Linked DNA regions of Schizosaccharomyces pombe. Changing the gene in region 3 together with the main gene of any one other region gives a genetic interaction. Each region holds a gene or a part of one and is shown on either strand. Other genes may lie near its edges.

Region 1 (5,545 bases), on a different chromosome or scaffold from region 3:
TCCCATTAAATTATGTATCAACTCAAACCATGAAGGTTTTCACAATGATTACTTACAAATCTAATTTAGTTTTTGTTATTAATACCCATTTTGTAGGCTTGTAACACTAGAAACGATAATAGTGTATTAGAAAATGGTGCTTCATCAAGGTAATGGGCAATTTTTAATTGCTGTTGTTTCTTACAATAAAGCATGGTTTTTTATCTACTTCTGAAACTTGTCTCAATGTATAGAAATTTTCAAATTTATTGGACATCGGCATTTTCTTCAACATTACTACTTTATATTTGAGGTAAAGAAGAGAGAAGGGGTGAATCGCCTGAATTACACTCACACATCAATTTATCTAATAGACGGTTCAAGCACCACAGAATACTTAATTTATTTAATTTATAACTAAAATAAAAATAAAATACTCAATCTATTTTATTGATTTTTTTTGCAATTGCCCAAACATTGTATAGACAACTAAGCAACATGTTGACTTTTTTTGCTCAGATCAAAAAAAATAAATAAATAAATAAAGGCTTTAGTGCAACGTACACCCACATATACATATTCAATTAAAAGGCATGTTAACAAAACTTCTTATTGAAAACCTTCCTCGGACAATGAATACAACTCGTAAAGTCTATTCAGCCTATTGTAAAGGGAAGGTAAAATAAAACACTGGAAGCAATTCCAAAATTTTCTATTGATCAACTTGTTTGTTCATAAAAATTGTAGCAAGTAAAAGGTGGAAACCTAAAGATGGAAAACATTGCAAAAATCAGTGATTTAGAAATGAAACGCATAAGTAATGACAATACAAAGATAAATAAATATTTAGAAATGATAAAGAAAAGGGACAAATTCTTATCAACAATGGAAAAATGAAAAAAAAAAAGGAAAAACGAGTGACCGGATAAACCAGCAATGTACAGCAACAGCATAAGTGGAATCTTATACCCAGATACCTTTATCTAAAAGGAATAGCAAGTTAAAAAATAAGCAACATTGTGCAAGAAAATAACCAGCAAGCAACATAATAATAATAAGGAACCGAGAACCAAACACATATAATAATAATAATAAAAGACGAGCCTCCATAAATAACACACAAACATCCGTTCATACCTCATCTCTCACGACTATATGAGGATGCAAATGAACATCTAAAGATTTACAATGACAAAACTTGACTCAAAAAAATAACCATCTGAACAATCCGATAAAACTTGTATGCTTGAAACACGGAAATAGCGGCAAAAAATGGATGAAAAAAGCAATGCGATGCAATTCGATGATGAAGCAAAAAATAAATCAGACATCCAAACTTCACTTCAAAGCAAGTTGCATTTTGGGAGACAGAGGAAATTAATGAATCTCAATGGATTGTTGTGTATGTTGTATAGCTGCGGTTTCCGGTCTCGGTACGATTGAGGGTGGTCTCTGAAGTATCGAGGTTGGAAGAACAGAAGTACTAGCGGTCTTTACCTTTATTAATGATGGCCTACGAACTGGTGAGGAGTTGGGCTGTGAATCGAGCTTTGGATTTGGTTCCGAATTGGGATGTGTGAGCGGCAAAGATTCCGACCTTGATTGAGGTTGCGAACTGGGCATAGAAGCTGGCAAAGAATGCGGTTGGGCCGAATCAGAAGTAACAGCGCTTAGCGTAGGTAGCTCTAACAACTCTTCCGTCTTGCATATTTTAGAAAAGATCTTTTTATCTTTTTCAGGATCGGTATGCGTTTCTGAAGGCTTGGGTACCTTGGAGCCATAAGCAGCAAGTAAAGAAGTAATGACCTCCATTAGTGCCTTGCGAAGACGCACACTATCGACAACAGAATGGTCCAAGTTCATGTCCACTTTGGGTACATAAGGCTTTTGCAATAGACGATACATGAGGATACGAGTATTCTCGCAAACATGAAGGCCGCAATCACAATCATTAATTTGTTGTGGAGTCTTCATGTGTCGGACACGGAATTCCTTTTTAAGGAGAATGCCAAGGTTTTTGATGGCAAGGTTGCAGTCATTGGTATTACCATTGGACATGGAGTCATAGTACCAGCCCAAACCTTTTTCAACGGAGACGACTAACAAACTCCAATGCGAGCCGCTCTCGATACCACACTCATTGGTATCGTTGATAGGAAGAAAGATAAACGATGCATCAAACATGGCAGGAGGTAAGGCAGACTCGATTTCCAAAGGATTAGGAGCCTGGGCCAAAAAGAAGACCATAGCAGGACGAAGCAAGTATATTTGTTGACTCTCCTCCTTGGGACGTTTGAGCAAGACTTGACGCAACATAATTTCGTAAAAGAAATCGATGTTTGTATCAAGGATCCAATACCCAGGACGAAAGTGGTCGACGTCGTTTTTGCGAAGGGAAACCTCGAAATATTCAAGCCAGATGCGCGTAAACGGGGAACCGCAAGACTTTGATCCGCTGCTGCTGCTGCCAAACAAGGAACGGAAAAAGCCCTTTTTCTTCTTTTTGGGAGAAGCGGTATCAGAGCCATTAGAATTGGAAGAGCCGGTGGAGGGAGGACGTAAATTGCTAGACTTTTTCACAGCCTCGCTGTCGATTTCCTTTGTGAAAATGGAATTGGAGCGCATTTTTTAAAAGTGGAATATAGGACAGTGGGAGAAAGAGAAAAAGACGAATACAAGTTTTTAGAAACGCGTTTTTTACCAGGCAGGTAATAAGAAAATAAGCACTTTTTTATTTCTAAAGTGAACAATGGGAAAGAACGAGAATTGCAAATGAGAAAGGAAATAAAAGGAGAGTAAAAAATTGAATGAAAAGAAGAAAGAATTGGATAAATAAATATCGAATTCTTTTTTTTTCACAGAGTTAGGAAAAGACAGTATGAACAAATAAAAGGAAAAAGAAAATTAGAAACTAAAAGAGAAAGGTAAAAAAAAAAGGCAAAGCAAAAACAAAAGAAATAGCAAATGGAAAAACTTGTTGTTAACTGGGAAGTTTTCGAATGCAATTGGGCAAGCAAGCAATTAGGAAGCTTGAATTGAATTGGATTGGATTGGATTTGGATCGAGGATAAATGAGTTTGGAGGGATAAAAGATGATGAGATGAAACCAAGGGTTGCAACGGGAAAAAAAAGGAAAAACGATTAACGGAGAGTTGGAGCGCTAAGAAGGAAGAAAAAGGAGATAAAAAAAGCGCAAGGAAGAAATCCGAGAGAATCCAGATGGAATAGAATTGAGAGATAATTTGAGGTAGAGACGAGTCTTAAGTTGGTTACGAATAAAAGTAAAAGAAGACGACGTCGAGAGAAGGAGGAGAAAAAAAGCCTTTAAAAAAGGAGAACGTGCAAAGTAAAAAGTAAAACGGGAAAAGAAAAGCAAATCAAAAGGATGCAGGGAAAGAGAAAGAAGAAAAGAAAAAGGAGGAAAAATGCCAAAAATATGAGAAGGAAAAAACCAATAGAGAAACTTCTATAATATAAAAAAAAACAATTCAACCACCTCACCAAACAATGTGGAGAAAGAAAAAAAGAAAAACAAGGATTAGAATAAAAATGGTGAGAATGAATGTAGTAGAAATTGTATAGAGAGAGAAAGACGAACGAACAGTCAGCAGAACACACTCACACTTGTACACGCACGTACGCATACACTCGCACACTCACACACACACACACCTACAGAGAGTAGAGAAGAGAGTTAAAAAAAAAGTGTGTAGTAGTGAGAAGAGAGGAAATTAAGTGGTGAGTATTGTGTAGAGGAAAGAAGTTTTCTGAGCAATGAAAAAGCAAAAAATGATGAAAGGAGTGTTCAGAAAAGGAGCCGGCAATGACCGTCCAACACGTACTTTTGTGGTTGGCAAAAAGTTGGGGTAAAGGGCAAAAAGACAGACCCAGAATGTGGAGGTGAAGATGGAGATGGGTGGAGAAGACAGGTAACAATAATATGGAAGAATAGTCGACGGCGGGGGGAGGGGGGAGGGATGCCGAGAAGGGGAAGAATGATCAAAAGATGACACCAATATAGCGTAATCTAGTGGACTGGGGAGAGAAGAGATGAAAAGAGGGGAATAGTGAAAAAGAGGGTGGTGTGTTAAAATGAGAAAGATGAGAGAGAGAGAGAGAGAGACATATCGTCTAGTGTAAACAGAGAATAAAATCCAAGTGAAACTATAATGTGTGAAAAGGTTTTTTTAGAAAATTAATTATCAAATAATACTTTCAATGACTTTTCGATACTCAAATATCGCGCATACTCTTTTTATTTCCATCATGTGTCTCTTCTCCATCCCTCTATGTTTTTCTCTCTCTATATTTTTCTTTCTCTCATCTCACTCCTTATCGTTTGCTATCCACTGCTACGCACCGCTTTCCACTTCTTTGCATTGCGGTTGGCCACATAAAGTTGACATGCAATATTTTTTTCCTTGGTCTCGAATTCTCAGGCCGACATGGGTCGGCCGAGCTCTCCTCTCAAAAGGAGGGGTAATTGAAATGCTGGGCGGGGAAGCGGGGATGCTCGGCAAATGATATGCGGTTGTTGTTTAGTGGTAAAAAGGGGGGGGGAAAGGGAATTTTTTGGGTGGGGCGAAAACTAACAAGAATCGCAAGGAAATTTGGACATTGGAATGGAATCGGAGGTGAAAAGAGTTGAATGATGCCAGTGATAGCAAAAGTAAAAAGTAATATATGTTACTATTTGTGTCAAAAAAGATAGAATAGGCTTGGAAAACAAGACAAACATTCCAACACAACTCATCTTTCACCCACCCTTTTTTCATTTCCTTTCCTTTCATTATCAACATTAAACAATCCATTACTTCTTATCCGATTGTGACGAAATGAGGTTGTTGTTTTGTTTGTGTTCTCCCTCTCATCTCTCTTTCGATGATGTAGTTAAAAAATTAGAAAAAGAATAAAAAAAACCTAAACGTTAATCGACGGTTTAAACGAGTGAGACTGGACTTCGCTTCTTTTCTTACGCATTACCAAACTTTGATAATGGTTGCTGTAATCAATGATAGTTGGGTCATCCCCTTTCCCACCAGAATAGAGTTGATTTACCGTTTTCTACGCAGCGCTTCAAATTTCGAATTAAAATTTTTGGTTTGCCACATTATGTTTGTTGCCTGTGGACGTGGATGGGTTACTAGGGAAAATAATAAAGCAAAAACACAAACATTCGTAAAATGCGGAGTCGGTAGATTCGAGGCTTTTGCCTTAAGTTACGTTATGACGTTTAGCAAATGGATAAGGAAATGGAAATGAAGATGAAGATGGAGATGAAGCAAGATGAAGGGAGAAAGGGAGAGGGAGAGGCAAGCATGACAAGTAAAATCTCTTTCTTTTTTTCTTTTTCTTTCTTTTTTCTTTTTTCTTTTTCTTATTTTAAATAATGTAGAGTTAAGCTCTATCTTGTTTTTACTGTAAATGAGTTTGTTGTATGGTAATGAGGGATCGCTATAATGTAATAAAGTTTTGGTTTTGTGTTTCACTAATTTTTAAAGCCGTTGGTTTACTGTTTCACTCTAAATGTGTTTGACTATAACCATTGTAACATAAATAAAAATAA
Region 2 (4,544 bases), on a different chromosome or scaffold from region 3:
CTAGTATCTAGCAATACTCAATCTCTATCTACCAACTCAGCAATGACATCTTTATATCAAAACGCATCATCAGCAGATAATAATCTTGGCTCCTCTTTACCCAACGTTGTACCATTGAGTAGAGGATTAACACAGTCGAATGAAACGTCTAATACGTTTCCCGCTGCTTCATCTAATATATCTTCTCAGCTTCGTGAACTTCATACCAAAATTGATGAATTACGAGAAACGGTTTCTAACTTTCGTGCTGATTACAATAGTATACGTACATCTTTAAATCAGTTAGAAGCTGCAAGTGGTATTAATGAAAGGATACAAACTACTTCTGCTGATTCACTATTAAATTCCAATGGTATGAGTGGGACTGAAGGATTTGAGAATACGCAGACTTCCATTACAACGAACGACAATCAATCATCGATCTTAACCAGTTCAGATCAAACATCCCCATTTGCAACTGATGAAGATCGACAAAACTCACGAAATGTACAATTAGAAACTGTGGATGAAAATTTTTGAAATTTACTATCAAACTTTTTTGATAATAATGAACGACCTAAAAATAAAGAAGTGATAAGTCATTTACTAATAAATAAATAATTTCTCTTGTATAAACATTTTTCAATCAATAATTAAGCAAACGATTATTGCACTCGTGATAATAATAACATATTTGTAAACAGCAAAAGATTTAGCGACTGCTGATAAAAATTACACAACCATTCACATCACAAGATAGGATAAAACTCAGATTGTTTGAGTTGAAACAAGCCTTCCCGCTAGTTTGTATATTCGAAACTAAACAACGCAAGTGTAGCATCAAAAAGGGAAATCACCAGATACAAGTTCTTCCGGAGGAGTGAGAAAAGGATTATCAGTGCTATTATGAAATTTCGGTAACTCCCCCTTCGCTATATGACTGTTCATATGGACAGAAGGTAATGGCGTAGGCTCAATTTTGTCAATCGCAGATTTGTCAAGTTTCTCATCAGAGAGTAATGGCAAATGATCTTCTTTGTTGTTAGAAGGTGAAGGAACACGATCTTGTTTTTTTTCAGAAGGTGAAGGCACATGATCTTGTATCTTTTCAGAAGGTGAAGGCACATGATTCTGTTTCTTCTCAGCAGGAGAGGAAGGGTCATCGTCATGACTGTGATGATGATGGTGGTGATGATGGTGATGATGATGGCCTTCATGATGCAGGTCCTTATCGCTTTCATGGTTATTATGGTGATTAGTAGATCCTGACTCTGAAGACTTCTTCAAATTAGAGTTAGAGCTTTCATGTGATGTTTCAGATGAGTCGGATGATTTAGGTAGAACCGGGAGGGCAACATCGAGAAGAGGAAGGTGAGATTCTAAGTCAAAAAACACAGTGCCAGTAGGAAAGTCCTCGTCAAAATCGCCGCTTACCCTTGTCCCCAAGGAGTTAATTATATGGTCTAAGCAACGGCTCAACTGCTCCCGAATAGCTGTTACATCTGGCTGAAATGTAGACAAATTCCACATAGAGCTAGTGGGCATCGGTGAATGTAACAAACGCCGAACCAGTTCAAGGGTAAAAGCACAAACGTGTGCTCCACAATCATATCCATTTCTTTGTTGTTGTACGGGCATACACTCTATTGTAAATTTTTTTTTGAAAAGATCCGAAACACGGGCCAAGGCACTGCGACAATCTTTTGTCTTTCCGTTGCTGAGAGAATCATAATAGTAACATTGCCCATCAGGAATACTTGCGACCATTAAAGACCAGTGTGAACCTCCACTTCCTGCCGCATGTTTATCCAAATCATTGATAGGCATAAATAAATATTTGCAGTTCATTAACTTTTTAGGCAAAGCAACTTTGAGCTCTTCAGGAGAAATAGCAGCTTCTGCTAGTAGAAAAACTAACGAAGGGCGAAGCAGCAAAATTTCATTAGCTTGATTTGGGTATGAGGGAAACCATAGGTGCTCAATTAACTCGTCAACATAATCAATACTCACATCAGTGAACCTAGCTTGTATTAATTGAAAGATTCATTTCAGATGCACAAAGTAAAAGTAAAACATGTATCCAAATTTCCTTACCAGTTTGGCTTTTTTAAGCTATCCACGTCTTCCTGCTTAAAACACACATCAAATACTTAATAGCACAAGTTAGTTTTTATTCAGCAAACTTAAACGCTTCTAGACAGAGATTTCACAATATATGTGTAAACTTACATTCAAGAACGGTTGGAGAACTGCTCATTTAAAAATTGTTTAAAAGTAAGTACGAAATGGGGAAAAAAAGGAATTTAAACAAACAATAGGTCCGCAAACAAAACAGCTCGAACGGAAGAGTAACACGAGTGTTAAAATAAAATGTTTATTTTATCGGGTTAAAACAAACAAAAAAATCACGAGAATTGAAAGCGGAACCAGAGACCGGGAATACAGCGTTCCTATACCAAACAGAAGTAAGGCTCAATAAACAAACAGGATTGGACGGCTTAATTAAAATAAAAAAAAACAACTGCAGAGTAGGCGGCAGAAATAAACAAATTGCAACGTGAAGAGAAAGGAACAAATGGAACAGGGATAGCGGAGTAAGCTAAGGACTTTGATCATAGCGGACCTTTACAACAGCCTTAACTTAAACAAGGAACCAAAGCACAATATACCGTAAGCGTTGTAAGCATCGTAAAGTAGAATACCGAATACAAAAGTAGCATGCAATTTCCAAATTCCAAAAACCTTATTGCAAGTCAGATAATCCGAATGTAATAAATGAGAATTTCATGAAACGGCATGTTTTGAGATAAAAACATTAAATAAGAGACAAAGGAGAAATAGCATATACAAGTACAAAATTTAAAGGCCACTTGAAAATTCAGAAACTAGTCGTATCCACATTGACACAGCAGAATGAAATATATATATATACAGACAAAAGGCACCAAGGTAACTTTTCCAAGTTTTAAATAATCAGATTAAATATTTTCAACAGAAAATAAAGATAAATAGATGGAAGCAAAAAAAAATTTGGAGGACCAAACACAGTAGTAAATTTAACCAATTGAGTGAGAAGAGAGTAACCTTCGATCCATTATGGGCCGACGTGGCTGTTCATCTTGTTGATTTTGTTGCGGAGTATGGGAAATGGGAGATTCAATAGAGCATGAAACATCGGTAGGGTTGTAATTCTGCCCATTTTGCCGATACCATGAAAGTAGAAGATCACCGTATGCTTGAAGGTCCTCCAAAGATATAAAAAGATTGAAATCATTAAACACAAAAAAAGATAACTCCAGATGATTTAATTCGTGCAAGGGAATACCACCAACTTTTGCATAGCGACTGTTAGTATAGAAGACATCGCTGAAAAATTTGCTTGCGGCCGTAAACCCAGCGATTAAGAAACGATGAATATTAAAGCTGTTGATAAAGACAGTGAAATGAAAATGATGAACAATTCTGTCAAGGTAAATCAAAACACTTAAAAATACATCGTTAGTTGCAGGACAGTACTTTAAGATTCGTGTTAGATAAGCCTGAATAGATATGGAAGGCACATTTTTTGCAGAAAATATCAAACAAGGGTTCTTTAAACTTGTTGGAGATAATGGTATTTGATCTGATTCAGTAGCTTCCTGCTTGCTATCGTTCAAACGCGTTAGACGCGAGAGAAACACAGATATCATTTCCAAGAGCTTTTCTTGATTAAAAGAAGAAAGCTCCAAGTGTTCTTCATCTTCATCTGTGTTATCTTTTGAGGTTAAAAGCGTAAACGCCAAGGACATAGGACTATTATAAAAATGTTTGGTAAATGGACGAATACGTCTTTACTGTCTGTGACGCCAATCCTAGACTTTAAGTTATTGCGAAATCTTGCGTGTTCTTGTCAACCGGAATACAACGTTGCGTGCACTTATTTAGATCGCTAATTTTTTATGAAGCACTAGTGAAATGTAACAAACTCGACTGTAAACATTGCAGATTAAATCACGAGCGTTTCTTCATAGTACTTTTTCTTGATTCAAGTAGATAGATGAATGTAAAAGGATTAATAAATTAACTTTTTATATCTCAATTTAAAATCCGTATTATTCGCAAGAATCAGTTTAGTTGATTCAAAATCGATTAATTTTTAAAAAAAAGAGTTATGATTCAAATATACAGGAAGCAATACAGTTTTACTAGGAGTCCAGAGCTATTGTTACGAAAATTCTAAGGCTAAATGGGATTTAAATCAAAGTATATAATCGGGTTGGCCTGCGCACCAAGTAGATAATATTTACAAAGACTGTAGTAATATAGCGTTTATATTGAAAGACGGCTGTAATCTGCCAAAAAAAAGAAATCAAAGAAAAAAAGCAAAAGCATTACGATAGTGATTTTCATCTATGTAAAAAGTCAAGTCCTAAAAGCAACGAGATTGGAATTTAAAACGAAAAAGTTTAATGGTTTTAGCTGAGTTTTGTCGTTTTTCTCTAACTATTTAGGGATAAGGGAAGAGAGGATTCAAAAATTTCTTAATAATCCAAATGTATAAATGATGAGATATATAAATCCAAAGT
Region 3 (3,436 bases):
TGTCTCAAAGGAAAAAATGGAAAAACTACGAAATCAGAGAGCGAACCAATGTCTCAGAAGCATCTCAAATATGTTAAAAAATACATAAACAAAGTAAGAATCCTTAAAAAATGAATGTGTATAAATAATGTCAAACATTCATATATAATATATAACACGAGTATTAGTATGCCACACCGCTAAAGGAGATTATGCTTGATAGCCTACATCATTAAAGCCATTTTGCAAGTCGATCTATTAACTCATCAAAAATCTTGTATTACGTGTTTTGTTATTTAAATATTGCGCACAACCTTAGCTTCGGTCAATTTATTATATTAGCTAATAACGCCTTAGTAGGTTGGCTTGGCACGTAAATAAAGTCAATTGAACACATTTTATACATAAATTTTGAGATTTCCAACTGTCTCTTCAATATCCTTGTTGATTTGGCAGTTTTAGAAAAAAAAATTCAGCTTAACGTTTTTATACCATATATTCATTAAGGTCAAGTTTCGTCCACTTTATCGCACCACGAAATTTCCATTTGTACCACCTTCAAATTGCATCAAATAGCCTGATTACTTAGTATTTAAACGCAGTTATTCCACTTTTGATTGTCTATCTGTTCATATTATTCCTCCTTGTCTTTTCGTTTGGATTTTTAACTCACTTCTAGTCTTTTTTTGATAACTGTTGAACAAATTATATCTCTTCTAGCCATCGGACGCTGATTTTCATTCCTTTCTTTTTTTTTACTGTTATTTCGTTCATTTTAGCATTTTTGGCACTATCTCATTTGTTTGCATTTGCGTTTCCTTGTTGAATAGTTTTTTAGTTTAGGGGAACCATGTCTGTCAGTACTAAACGTCTTGAAATGGATGAAGAAGCAGAAGAGGCTTTTGATCTTTTTGACGTGACACACAAAGGGTACATTGACTTTGAAGACCTTCGAAGATCTTGCGCTCAACTAGGGGAAAATTTGACTAAAGAACAGCTTCAGTTGATGCTCGATTTAGCTGGCACTAATGGTAAAGTATCGCGTGAAGAATTTGCCGAATTGTGGATTCATATATCTTGAGATTGTTTATCAATGGAGACAAACTTCATTTTATTTATGGGATTCATTCTCGCACTTTAATGACTTAATGATGATGGACTTAGTGTACTAAAAAAGATTAAACAATATTTCCTCGTGTTTTCTTTTTGTTTTCAAGCCATAGATGCCTGTTTTATATACTTGGTTGTAGGTTACAATTGATGCTAAAGATAAGTGTCACAGCCTGCTTGAACAACAATACTAGAATCTACATTCTTTCGTAAACCTTGATTTATTGATTTTTAGCATCTTCGTGTGTCTCTTTCATGATATATGTTACAAGGGATTGGCGATTGTGTAAATTCAGTGAATAGGATTTCAATGAACTAATACTATATTGTCTGTTTTCATTCATAGTAAAACAAGTTCTCAAAGATACCAGTTACCAAGCAAAATATATTGTCTTTTCGAAATTCAATAAACATACATTTTACAGGCTAGAATTCATGTTTTAAAATGCTTTTAATCAACTAATATGCTTAAGTAAATAAACGAAATTTTTATCTAAAAATATGTCTTTATAGCGAGTTTTACTTGTACTCGAAAAGTTCTCCAACATTTTTTCGTCACATACCACAAATGATTCATTTTCTGTATTTAATGACTACAATTACAAAATTGCAATGAATAATCAACTCGAAAATGTTTTTAGATTTGATGAAGAAAAAGAGAGGGCTAAAATTCGTGAATCGCCGTGGAAACATGAGTAAGTTAAGATTTCATTGGTTTTTAGCTATATTATACCAGTCTCTGAATTTTTTTCCCTACGTTAATTTATTAAAATTATAAATCCTGTAATGCTAACAATAACAGCCCAGAGTTTTTCCGTTCTGTCAAAATCTCAGCAGTAGCTTTGTTGAAAATGTTACGGCATGTATCTCAAGGCATGCCATTAGAGGTAATGGGCTATGTTCAGGGGAAGGTTGAAGGGGCCTCCTTGATTATTTTAGATTCTTTTGCGTTACCAGTTGAAGGTACTGAGACTCGTGTCAATGCACATGAAGAAGCACAAGAATACAGTGTACAATATCATACTCTTTGCAAGTCTGTTTACAGACATGAAAATGTCATAGGATGGTACCATTCACATCCTAACTATGGTTGCTGGCTTTCAGGTGTAGATGTTGAAACTCAGCGCCAAAATCAAAAATATCAGGATCCATTTGTTGCCGTTGTGTTGGACCCGAAGCGATCCTTGGAATCTCCATATGTAAACATTGGAGCATTTCGAACCTATCCTGTCGGTAATGATGGCTCTATCCGCACAAAATCTCGTCATCACCCGTCTGTCTTATTTAAAAATTTACCTTCTTCCAAAATCGAAGATGCCGGAGCCCACGCAGAAGCGTACTACAGTCTCCCTATAACTTACTTTCATTCCAAAGCTGAAAAAAAGGTTACGGAGTTTTTAAGGAATAGAAACTGGTCTAGGTCAATCACCGAGTGTTCTATTTTACAAGTAAGATTCATATTCTAATAAAGTTTCTTAACGAGTCTGCAAGTTTTTCTAACAAGCAATATAGAACAATGAATTTTTACATGACAGCGAAAAATTAATCGATCATCTTATTCATGAAACAGGGAATAATGAATTACCTGTTGCATCTGCCTACGAACAATCCAAAGCTTGTTGTAACGAATTATCTACTTTTCTGTCTCAAATTGATGTCCAAGATAAATTATTTAAAGAATGAATAAATCAACGATTCACTAATATCAGGAAACATGAGATATATAAACGTCGAATCTACTAAGTAATACAGTACAGTTTATTAATGAAAGTCATATTAATATATTTCAGTTAGTTTTTTTTTTATTACCCGTAATCTTTTTTTTTTTATTGAGTAAACATATTCGACTTTTGTAACGCCAAATTCGTAAATCTATTATATCGATGACACACCACTTTAAAAAGTATCAGCAATACTGAACTTCACATATCAGTATGTATGTTTTATCTTAATGCTCATCTTGAAATTAATAAGGTCGTAGACGTTGTAATGTCACTTTCAAAGAAGTTTTTAAAGCCTTCAGTTGCTTCCAACCAACTTCGTTTGCTTTTTACAGCAGCTGGTAAGAAATGTTTAGCTCAGCTAATGCATAAATGAGATTTTACTAAAGAAATTAGAGAGGAAGGTTAATTATCCAGGACATGTTCCTTTATCACCGCTGCAACGTATTTTTTTGGTTGCAGGATCAGCAATCATGGGATTGAAGGCACCATGGAGAGGCGGTATGAAATTTAGGTAGTAAAAACACTTCGGCAAATTCTTTTGACCTTTGCTACAGAAGTTGGTGAAAAGCTATATTTACTTTTTCTGGATTTACTAATGCTAGGAGATATGATATCTGTCCTAG

The links. Genes that interact genetically often act in the same process or in processes that back each other up.
Region 1: of csn5 (region 3) and nep2, changing one enhances a phenotype caused by changing the other (phenotypic enhancement), as found in Schizosaccharomyces pombe (one study listed by BioGRID).
Region 2: of csn5 (region 3) and nep1, changing one enhances a phenotype caused by changing the other (phenotypic enhancement), as found in Schizosaccharomyces pombe (one study listed by BioGRID).

The regions. Positions count from the first base shown.
Region 1 is NC_003423.3:1,450,831-1,456,375, forward strand, and holds nep2 (NEDD8 protease Nep2), read right to left. Parts: upstream 3,843-5,545; 5' UTR 2,605-3,842; coding exon 1,357-2,604; 3' UTR 501-1,356; downstream 1-500. Other genes in the region: SPOM_SPBC32H8.01C (uncharacterized protein), read right to left, coding at 57-106, 185-274; SPOM_SPBC32H8.15 (uncharacterized protein), read left to right, coding at 4,198-4,503. UniProt on the Schizosaccharomyces pombe protein: Protease that catalyzes two essential functions in the NEDD8 pathway: processing of full-length NEDD8 to its mature form and deconjugation of NEDD8 from targeted proteins such as the pcu1, pcu2 and pcu4 cullins and other proteins. Has a role in meiosis.
Region 2 is NC_003423.3:3,302,529-3,307,072, reverse strand, and holds nep1 (NEDD8 protease Nep1), read right to left. Parts: upstream 2,539-4,544; 5' UTR 2,237-2,538; coding exon 2,209-2,236; intron 2,129-2,208; coding exon 2,074-2,128; intron 2,000-2,073; coding exon 820-1,999; 3' UTR 520-819; downstream 1-519. Other genes in the region: synviolin family ubiquitin-protein ligase Hrd1, read left to right, coding at 1-519; psl1 (pho85 family cyclin), read right to left, coding at 3,036-3,767. UniProt on the Schizosaccharomyces pombe protein: Protease that catalyzes two essential functions in the NEDD8 pathway: processing of full-length NEDD8 to its mature form and deconjugation of NEDD8 from targeted proteins such as the pcu1, pcu2 and pcu4 cullins and other proteins.
Region 3 is NC_003424.3:925,837-929,272, reverse strand, and holds csn5 (COP9/signalosome complex protease subunit Csn5), read left to right. Parts: upstream 1-1,646; 5' UTR 1,647-1,701; coding exon 1,702-1,784; intron 1,785-1,826; exon of another isoform or gene 1,827-1,891; coding exon 1,892-2,537; intron 2,538-2,601; coding exon 2,602-2,772; 3' UTR 2,773-2,879; downstream 2,880-3,436. Other genes in the region: SPOM_SPAC1687.23C (uncharacterized protein), read left to right, coding at 1-114; SPOM_SPAC1687.14C (calcium-binding protein), read left to right, coding at 830-1,060; ubiquinone biosynthesis protein Coq4, read left to right, coding at 3,028-3,151, 3,207-3,311, 3,416-3,436.